2 linked regions of the Oryzias latipes genome follow. The protein of the gene in region 1 purifies or fractionates together with the protein of each later gene. This does not show direct contact. Links are inferred from orthologs where the notes say so. Each region holds a gene or a part of one and is shown in the gene's direction. Other genes may lie near its edges.

Region 1 (5,312 bases):
CTGTCTTTTAGGTTAACCTTTCACTAAAGTAGCTGAACTGAGGCTAACTCGTGTGCTAGCTTACTTCGCTCATGTTAGCTAGTTGGTATATCCCACTTCAAGACTTGACGCGTATTAACTACCGATTTAACAAGCCAAACACACTGAAATCAAAACTTACATTTTCACCGTTTAGGTAATTGGTCTCACTCGTCGTAACCCAAAATAAATTACTGTGTTAACTATTAATAAAGCCCGGCAAAAATGGTAACTGAGACTTAACTCAGGGTTAACCACATAAGCGCTGGTATTTCTCCAAACATCGCGTGTTTTCCACACTTCCTTGTGACGTTACACGTCGCCCTCCTGGCTGGTACGTGGGTACAGTGGATGATTCTAGAATGCGAACGTTCCCAGTGCTTTTAACTGAACAGCGCCCCCATTAGTGCCATTCTATAACTACAGCCAAATGTATAATCGATAATTATTCAAAGACAAGCAATCTGAACAGCTGAAATGTGATTTTAATCGAAAACAAATAAATAAATAAATAAAATTAGATTGCTTTAGATTTATGGAAGTATGAAGTTTTGATATCGTGATGTTTTTGTAATTTACCATGTTGATTTATGTTTTTGAATGCTATTTTTTCATTAGTAATTTGTTGTGTGAAATTTGACTTTGTTTTAATTTGACATGTATGTAAAGTGATCAAGAATACTACAGGAATAAATAGAGAACCATATTTGTAAAATGATGTGTGAAATGTGAAAATGTTTTATAGTTGCAGTTTTTATTTTGAGATTTTCCCATTGTAACCGGGTGTGCTGCTTTAGTTGCTCAGGAATTCTGGATATGTACTAGAAAAGCGCTTTAGGAATTTAGTGACAATTTAGAACAAAGTTTTTATTTATTGAGAAGCAAAGAAGAATCACAGTTCCTGGGATATTTTGTGGAGAAATAATGACAGGACATGTCAGATTAAAAAAAAAAAAGGACCACCGATGCTCACCATATATTCTTATTTTGCATTAAGATTGGAGATCTCTCCAAGTTAATAAAAACATATTTGCTCCATGCATATAAAGATTAAAAGCTCTGATGTCTGTATTTTTTGCATCACTACATCTTTGAGTTCTGTTCAAGGAAATTTACTTTATCCATGTTAAAATCAGCAGTTTACATTATTTGAATATTCATTAGACAAAAACAAAGGTTGAAGAATAATTGTTTATTTGACACATGAACTTTACCTTCAGTAAACCACAAACGTAATTTTATTTCTTAAACAACTTAGGGGACACATACTAGGCCACATCCCACATTTAATTAAAACATTAAAAGATTTTTTCCCAAATCGTCTTTTTCTTAAATTTTTTCCCGAATTATATTTTCTGTGACTTTGAACAAAAACGGCATGAAACATATTTACACATACAGCCATGTTTGTTTGCATGGCAGTGGGTGAGGTACGGTGTCTCAGAGAAGCCAAAACAGTCCAGGCCCAGCCTGCTCACCTTGCAGATGTTTGGTAAGAACTGCAGAGATATCCTCTGTCATCTATCAGCAAATTCATCAGCAGTTTTTCTGTCCTCCAACTATAAGATTACAGGACCCAATTGAAGGTCAAATAACTCAAATATTTAAGCTTTACTTATGTTGACACTGAAATCTGAAGATGAGCACTTACAGTAATAGCTTATAACAAAATAAAAATCCTTCCTCAAATTACAAAATACAGGAGATACAGCGTTCAGCTGACACAACATTTATAATGTTATAATAAAGGGCACACTTGATATGAATTAAAATGAATGATTATTTAAAGGGGAATAATGGGCATGTCTAAGTTTTAGGCTTTTTTAGACTGAACTTTATTGTCTTTTCATTTTTTAAATTGAACTTTATTACCTATAATTAGAAACTAAAACCTTTATGAGCTCATAAAAGACCAATGATGTCATCAAATGAGAATTGTTCCCACATAATCATGAATAACAAACGAGTGGGTTTTCCCTGGATGGGGAGTAGGATCCCGCGTGCCACTTTGGTGTTCCAAACTGTCAAAAGCGTGACTCACACCTGCACGCCAACCAACTCAGTGACGAACTTCCTGCTCACCTTTTCTCCCAACAAACTGCAATGCACTGATGACAAAACGCCAACCGTATTTATCTGACAGTTTGAAGTCGCTTTTTTTTTTGCTAGAGTGGTCGAGCCCGATAAGAAACTACAAATGCGTGTTTACTGTGGATGACGCCTACAGCCCGAGGACGCACGAGGAAGGCGAAGGGGCGAAGTAAGGAGGCGGCGGCGGCGGCGGGTGGCGTTTTTCCACAGCGCTGATGAAAGACACACACCGGCCGTCCACCGGGAACACGCTCGGGTGTCATGCCTTGACCACGACAGATTAATGTTCCACCATTAAACTGCAGAAGGCAGCAGCACGTCAGAGACGAAGGCCTCCGCGGATGGAGCGCGGTGCTCTTTAATCCGTCCTCAAACCTCCCTGACAGGCGAGCAACAACACGGGTGAGGTGTCGGAGGTAATCATTAAAAGGAGCTGCCCTACTTTTATTGTCCATTCAAAGCTAATGTTTCGAAATCGTCAAATTCCCCTCCTGTCGTTGCGGAGGCTGCGTGTGTAAACATAACATCAGCTGTGTTCTCCTTTTTCTTCTTCTTTACTTTTTTCCCTTTCCTCTTCTTCAACAGGACGCTTGAATTAGAGGAAGAATTTATGGGATCACAAGGTAACGTTTGCGCTCGAAAACACGTCTTCAGTGTGTTTGTTTGCTGCTGTCACTGCTTGGATGTCTGTGAGGTTATTTTCTTTTGTTTACATCCAGGAAATGTCTCCACAGCTAGCAGCCGTTTGCTGTGCGTTTCTTAGCTGGCCACAGAAATGTCCTTTATTTAGTCAGCTGTTGGGTTTCTAATCACACCTGGGGGGTTAAGAAGAAGAAGAAGAGGAAAAGGGGCTAAAACGAGGAAAGCTAGTGGTGTTAGCATTTCCTCTGTGACAGGAGGAACTCAGTTCTTCTGTTAAAAGGAGCTAGCATCACCTTCATAATGCATATCAAGGACTACAAAGGGCTGAGCATTATGGGATGGATTTACTGTCATGCCTTAACACTGTTCCAACTTTGTTGTTTTCTTCAGTTTCCTCTGATGAGATGAGTGTGCGTGCTGGCCAGGGCAGTGATGAGGTGCTCGTTTCTCAGGCGGTGTGGGATTACCTGGCTGCAGCTGGGCGGCCCTGGCTCATTGACTTCCAGCACAGGCAGGGGATGAGCGCCGGGATCATTAGGCGGGGGGAGAGGGGTGGCTGTTGTGCTGTCCGGCTCCAGCCAGTTGAAGGCTTCAGGAATGCCGGAGTGATGGGCGGACCGGTCTCCAGCGACACCCGAAAAGCTTTTATTGACTTATGCCGCTGTGCCCGTAAAGAGATGTGCAAACAGGATGGGGGATCCAAGAGGAAGAGGGGCATGCTGCCATGTGGGGTGGAACAGAACGGAGAGGGGAACCTGCTGCAGCCCCCTCCCCTGCAACCCAGACGCTCCCAGAGACAGCAGCAGAGGTTCAGGAAGCCTGCTGATGAGGAGGCGTTTGCCATGCTCCATGAGGCAGCCCAAAGGAAGGACCTGGGCTCCAGCTTAGCTTCCCAGAGTGAGGCTGAGGATGGGAACACTTGTTCAATCTGCATGGGGGACATAGTGGAAAAGACCACTCTGGAGAAATGTGGCCATTCTTTCTGTCGCTTTTGTCTGGACCAAGCCTTCAAGGTGAAGAAAGCGTGCCCTGTCTGTCGACTTGTGTACGGCCAACTGGTCGGGAACCAGCCTGCCAATGGTTCAATGATTGTAGAGCGGGATCCTGACCTGGAGCTTCCTGGCCATGAAGGCTACGGGTGTATCTGCATCATTTACAGCTTCCCTCCTGGCCTGCAGTCAGTGAGTAGAATGAGAGCACAGTTCAGACTTCCAGTGAAATGCTTTTTAATATTCCCCCTCAAGTAGAAAGAATTATGTTTTGTTTTAAATCTGAATGAGTATTTTTCACAGAGGCTTTGTAAGGATTTTCAAAGAAATCAAGTTCTAATCTTGAACATTCAATCCACAGTGTTGCCATTAACTGCTCCTGGAATGCATGTCTACCTCATACCACCTTAAAAAAAGTTAATTGATAATATCTGGAATTATCTTACATTTTAGCAACTCTTCCTGTGCACTTTCTTCATATTGACTGTGTTAAGAAAACCTGAGTGACATTAAGTACCATAAGAATTTTCTATAAGAGCTATGTGCTGTTAGTTTTTTGGAAGTTTACATAAATCAGTAAGAGGCGGAGTTACCCCAAACCTCTTTTGCCGTCTATTTAAAAAAAAACAAAAAAAACAAAAAACGAGTGCTGATTCAGTTGAAGTTAAAATTGAATAGAATGAAACTTTACTGATCCCACAAGGGGGAAATTACCGAAGTTTGATCCCTTCGTGATTTTGCAAACAATTGGTAGTTCCCTTTTTTGTGGTGTTGGGAAGTAATTTTAGAAAAAGTATGAGGGGTTTCCCCCCCCAAAAAATGCCCAGACAACACTTTGACCTTCTTTAAAATTTCTTAACAGATAGAGCATCCCAATCCGGGTGTTCGATACCCCGGAACAGACCGGGTCGCTTACCTCCCTGACAGCCCTGAGGGGAACCGTGTGCTGGGCCTGCTGCGGCGGGCCTTCGAACAGCGCCTTATCTTTACCATCGGTACCTCTCTGACTACAGGCATGCAGAATGTTATTACTTGGAATGACATCCATCACAAGACCTCAATATGGGGCGGACCACGCTGGTAAGTAAAACTTTATCCTTGGAGGTACACTGCTAGTATTCATCCCATTCATATGTGTGTGTGTGTATGCAGGTTCAGGGTTGTCCTACTTTTTCTTTTAGAGGGGAGGTAGGTGGAAGTAAGGTACGTGAAAGAGGAATTGAAAAAAAGAATCCCTAAGAATGAGTGGGAAAGTAAAAAATGAATTGTTGAATGATGTTTTCAGTTTTGTTCAGGTAGTTCAATCAATCAATCAATCAAGGCTCTTGCGGGGGGGGGGGGGGGGGGGGGGGATGCCCCTTCCCAGTGCGTAGAGCCGACCAAAAAAACAAGGGTCTTCCAAGCTTTCCGGTCTTGTGCCAGAAGCTCAGTATCCTTCATAGCAACCCCATAAGGTTTAACATCCCCTGCAATAACATCCGTCCACCGAGTACGGGGTTTGCCTCGAGGTCGTTTCCAGCCCGCAGCTCCTGGGTTAAACTCAAAGATGGCCCGCGTCGGATGGTAAGAGGT
Region 2 (5,307 bases), about 3.6 Mb from region 1:
TGCTTTCACTTGGTGTATCCAGGCTGCAATCGGCATGGATACCGTCTTACAACCATCTCTGGTAAAAGCTCAAGACTCAATTTTACCCCAGAAGTGAAGTCAGAAGATGTTTTTTTTTTTTTTGCCTTTAGAAACAGTTAGGCTTGGATGCTGTGAATGCGGAGCTCCACGTCCCTCTTCTAGAAGACGTTCTGTTCGTTAAACGATTCTTCTGAGCCACCTCAGAGTCCTAATGAGAAATCAAAATGACAGAAATAGAAATGTCATTTAAAAACACAAGCTCAGAAAGTATTGTTACGAGAAAAGCTTCACTTTAAGTTACAAGATGTCGCAACAACCACTATATGCTCTGCATAACTAATTATTCCATTTTTTAAGGGAAGTAAAGCATCACTAATCTCAGGCAGATTAAGTATTTTGTGTGGGAAGCATTGTGTGGGTTCCTTAATTAATATTGTCAGTCACAATCGTAAACCTGCTGCATTACTGCGAAACGATGACCAATAAGGAAGGGGAAATATAATGGGTGACTGGCACTTGAGGCTGACGCTCGACACAGATAAGGCTGTCCCTTTCAGTTAACGTTTCAATTGGAAAAGGATTTATCGGGGCTGTCCACACGTTACCCTAATTATATGGCGGGACATAAAACAGGCAAACTGAACCGACAGGTGACTTATGAAAACGAGCTGCAATGTTTTCATGCCAGAGGAGAGGTCCAGGAAATTGGACGTCGTTTCCTGGTAAATAAATCGGGTGGCTGTTCCAGTTTTTTTGCCCTGGCATTGGATATCCAGTTAGCTAGCAAGCTACATCAACATGCCTTTTCACTGCGCATCAGTTAGGTCAGCATCGTTAATTAACACGGGTGATGTAAAACAACACATCCACTGTAGAACGTGTTCTAAAAGACTTTCGACATCCTAAATAAAACTGGCACTGACCCCCAAATGAGTACAAGCTAAGCAGTGAACGCCCATTTAAGCGCAGATGGCTAGTTAGCAATTGACTCTGGGCGGGCTAGCAGGGCGTTCCATTGCTACACTCACTCAGCTATTTCACGCTATATAAGAGAAATTACCCAAACAGATAAAATAACAAGCCATTTCTCTTATCAACAAACATGTTATTACGATACTGTAGGTGTTACGAGTCATAACCAACCCAGAAACACAATCAAATCGTTATCTTACCTTTTCATAAGTGCTAACCATCGCTAGTTACGCCTCCTCAGCTGTTGAAAATTCATTTTTAGCGGAGTACGCATGCGCAAAATCTTGACAGTTCATGACCACTAGGGGCCCACGTGTAAAGGGAGGGGATTCAGAGCCCACACTGACAGTCATTAGTATTAGACAAAACCAACAAACAGATGCACATAATAAACCCTATAGGTAGACCGTCAGTCATTAATCATTAGACACTGCAAACGCTAGTTTTTTTAGACGCTAATTAATTTCACCACCTAAAGTCACCCACAATAAGGAAGTGTTGATTTGGATCACAATAGTACAAAGGCCAATAGTTTGGTTTATATTTATGTTTTTAATTATGCAGATAAAATATTTACTGGTTTAATCAGAGGCCAAACGTAACAATACCAGGCTGCATTCTTCGATCACCTCACCTGCACCTAAAAAAGATGATGGATACGGACATTATTCTAAATTCCCCAATTACTGACAATGACGTTAGAAAACGAGGACGATTACATTCTCTTTTGAATTGAAAGTTATATTTTCCAGTCGCCGAATGACTGCCTTAAACTTAGTAGAACTTGGAGGTGGTTGGATTTTACAGTTATGGTGGAGAATTTCCGCCATAGACCTCAAGTTTGAGTCAACTGCTGCACTGCCAGACAGAATAAATAGAACTGCACGTAGAGCAGCCTCTGCTCATACATGCAGCGGTGGCTCCGCCCCACGCCGTAAAAAAACAACCAAAACCCAGTGACGTTGCTATGGGAAGGGTTGCTTGGAACTAATGCAGTGAAGAAAAGAAATAGAAATGGCGGTGCGCGGAGGATTTAGCGCTGCACAACAGAGAGAAACCACTGCTGACGGCAGCAACGACGTGTCAGATTTTATGTGTCCAGTTTGCCTCGAAATCTTTGAGAGACCTGTCAGAACACAATGTGGACATACGTAAGTATTTCGCCTTATTTTGACCACCCTCCCCTTACTGAGGCTCAGCACCATCGATGAAACGATACCAGTTAAAAACAATGAAGGGAAATGCTTGATCTTTTAACGCATTCTGGCATTAACAGAATGCCAACGTTAATATTCTTAGATTCGCTATGAGCTAAAATTCTGTAATGTTGTCTTTTTCTGCGTGTATATATTTGGCAAAACCTATTCTAGCCTGTTAAATCAGTTTCAGTTTTGTTTACATCAAAGAATAGGCTTTATTAGGGAAATGTAGTTCATAAATCTTTTGCAGTTACTCGAAAGACTAATGTGACGGACTACAAGTCCCTGCGCCCCCTTGAGGTGGGGATTTCCATCGAATTTACCGGAAGCTAAAGTAAAAAATAATTGTCTTTGAGAGCTGTGTGGGTATTAAATAATTCCAACTAATCAATTATATTTATGTGAGGATTTTGTTTAAATATTTGTCTTTTTATTGTTGTTATTTCTTTCTACCTCTTGGCAGATTCTGTCACAATTGTTTGCAAGAGTGTTTGCGTCCTCAAAAGCCCGTATGTGCGGTATGTAGGACTACAGTTGGGCCGTGGACCAAAGCAGTGGATCTAGAAGCCCTCATCCAGTCATCAATCTCAGCTTGTAAGGGATGTGGAGTTCAGGTATACTATGAGGCAACCGTTTGTTGTACGTAATTAACCACACAGTTTCAACTTACATTTATTAATGAATTCTTCTTTTGCACAAGATTGTTCTGTCTCAGATGAGGAGCCACACAGCTGCCTGTTTAAAATACCAGGACTATATTGAGGAAGGGGTGAGGACAAGTGTCCAAAGCCAGCCTGCTGCTGTGAGGTAAGGCACAACAAAATCAAAAACATCAGGTTGTAGTCATAAATAAGTAACAAAGGTTTTCATGTTATTTTGTTTTTACAAAGTATGTGCAGTTACAACAATGAAAGAGAAAAAATAGAAATTTTAGTTGACAAAAACCCTACAAGGATAGAATCATATAGAATCAGGTACATTGGATGCTCAAACCACTATTGGTGCACATTTTAATCATTGAATGTGGTTTTTATTTGTATGCTTTTGCACAGGTTTCACAGCCACAGTGGAATTAGTTGTCTATGAAAGGTCATTACTTATATTTACATACCTACCAATTATTTTCATTTGTACGTAGATTAACCCCTCTCCTCAAGTGTCTGTAAGTCCATAACCATCACAAGACGTTGAATGATGATTCATTGTTCACTACCATGTGTCCAGGACACAGATGCCTTCTGGGTAAATGGTTTTGTCTCCATTGTATAGAAAAGGGGGGTCAATATTTGACTGCTTTTGTTCATTTATCTAGGTGTAGAAGTGGGAGTTGAGAATAGAGCCATTGTAGGTACCATTACTATTCGCCCTGCAATAACCGTTCGGGGTCCCTTCGACTGAGGATGACGTCACACTACGGTAGCACCACGTGGACAAACTACATAGCATCCAGATCTGCTCGGGCTCTACATATTTTCATTTCACATTTCCTTTTGTTACATAAAGTTATTTTCCCTCGTAAGTTGTGTCTGACATTATCCTTTGTAATGTTTATGGAGAGATTTTGCCACAACCCACTTTGTAAAAAGATCTGTGGTTTTTAGAATGAACCTGCTGCTCCACACAAGCGAACCATGTCTCTGAGCAGAGCAGCTGGAGTCTTGTAGCTTCGTGTTTGCAGGCAGGGAAGGTGCTTTGTTAAAGTGTGCGGTCCGGAGAAGGGTTCGGAACACAGTCCGTTCGGCTGCAATGCACTTCTATGGTTGTATCGTAATTTGTCCAGACCAATCACTATCTGAAACGTCATCGGACCAATGGACAGCCAATCACATAATGTGACGTCGGCACTAGTTGAAGGACCCAGAAAGGTTATTGCAGGCCGAATGGCTGTGGTACCTACACCGTCAAAAATATTCCTGCTCTGTTGGAATGAAAATCATGTCTCCCATCCTCACAACCTGTATTTTATTCTTTAAAGTCCTAAGACCAGTCTCTAATTAGTAATCTTCTGAAAAAGCTTTTTTGGCAAAATGGTGATGAAAGCCCATCTTTAGACTTCCCTTGTCTTAGGCGTGACAGAGCAGGGTATCAGGATCATGCTATTGTCAGAGGACCTAAATGACTGTGATATAACCTGAAGAAAGTCTTGAGTCATGGGTGAACCAGTAGGGGATTTTGAATATTCTCCCAAAGCAGTTGACTATGCACCAACGTCCGATTTGGCAGAAGATGTGGAATTTTACAAGCAGAGGTCAAAACATAATGTAACAGTATAAATGGAAGCACCTGCAAAGGGCCTGCTTATAAGGTGTCTACTGCACTTTGACAGACCCAACTATTATATATCCAACATTAAAAAAAAGCTTCTTCGGAGTAAACATTCTCAAGGCCAGTAATTGTGTCTAGCAGCTTGTTTAAAGGTCAAGTTGTCCTTGATTGTTGGTTTATTGAACAACAAACAGAGGAGGATTTTGGTTTTGTTTCACACTGTTTGAGGTCTGATCATCTACCTGCGCTGGCAGAAGTGACGACCGAAAAGTGTACTATAGTTGGTACGAAGTGATGACCTTAAAGTTCCTCTCCAATAATCTTTTGATCCATTGTGAAAGCATTTCCAGTGCTCTTTTAATTACAATCATGCTATTTTTAGACTAAATCAAAAATCCTTGGTCATATTTTCTGTAGAGTGACAGGAGTTCATTGGAAGTTGTAGGTAGAACATAGTAAGCCTGCCTCCATATCCCATCTATTTACACCCCCTCCCACTAGCTTACAACTCCTCACACTCAACATAACAATAGCGGTGCAACAAAAATGACAAGCAATATCTGAGCTATCCAGCTGTACACTTTTAAGCCAGATGTCAGCTCAGACGAAAAAAGCAAAAATGTGCATGGATCTATTTATCTGCAAGTGGATGCATCGGAATGAAGCAGAGCAGGAAGCTTGTGGCCTTCCGACTGTGGGACCTACAGAACTGCTGCAGGCTTTTTCCGACAGCATTTTTTGTCTGCTTCTGATTCACCACAATTTGAATAAAGAAATACTTAGAAATGCAGTTTTAAGCGTAATTTTTTTAATATGTATCCTTCATCACAAGAAAAATGCCACAAGAACA

What was found. Proteins that work in one complex are often made in the same cells at the same time.
Region 2: the proteins of probable E3 ubiquitin-protein ligase DTX3 (region 1) and rnf114 purify together in Homo sapiens (affinity purification with mass spectrometry; 3 studies listed by BioGRID and IntAct, counting the BioPlex papers as one, with this or other methods). This does not show direct contact. The link is inferred for Oryzias latipes from reciprocal best matches to the Homo sapiens genes DTX3 and RNF114.

What each region holds. Positions count from the first base shown.
Region 1 is NC_019865.2:11,543,676-11,548,987, forward strand, and holds the start of probable E3 ubiquitin-protein ligase DTX3, read left to right. Parts: upstream 1-1,927; 5' UTR 1,928-2,511; exon of another isoform or gene 2,512-2,525; intron 2,526-2,694; 5' UTR 2,695-2,719; coding exon 2,720-2,732; intron 2,733-3,141; coding exon 3,142-3,932; intron 3,933-4,602; coding exon 4,603-4,820; intron 4,821-5,312. Other genes in the region: prostaglandin E synthase 3, read right to left, coding at 161-162. UniProt on the Homo sapiens protein: Regulator of Notch signaling, a signaling pathway involved in cell-cell communications that regulates a broad spectrum of cell-fate determinations.
Region 2 is NC_019865.2:15,131,550-15,136,856, reverse strand, and holds the start of rnf114 (E3 ubiquitin-protein ligase RNF114), read left to right. Parts: upstream 1-1,922; 5' UTR 1,923-2,007; coding exon 2,008-2,144; intron 2,145-2,655; coding exon 2,656-2,806; intron 2,807-2,892; coding exon 2,893-2,999; intron 3,000-5,307. UniProt on the Homo sapiens protein: E3 ubiquitin-protein ligase that promotes the ubiquitination of various substrates. In turn, participates in the regulation of many biological processes including cell cycle, apoptosis, osteoclastogenesis as well as innate or adaptive immunity.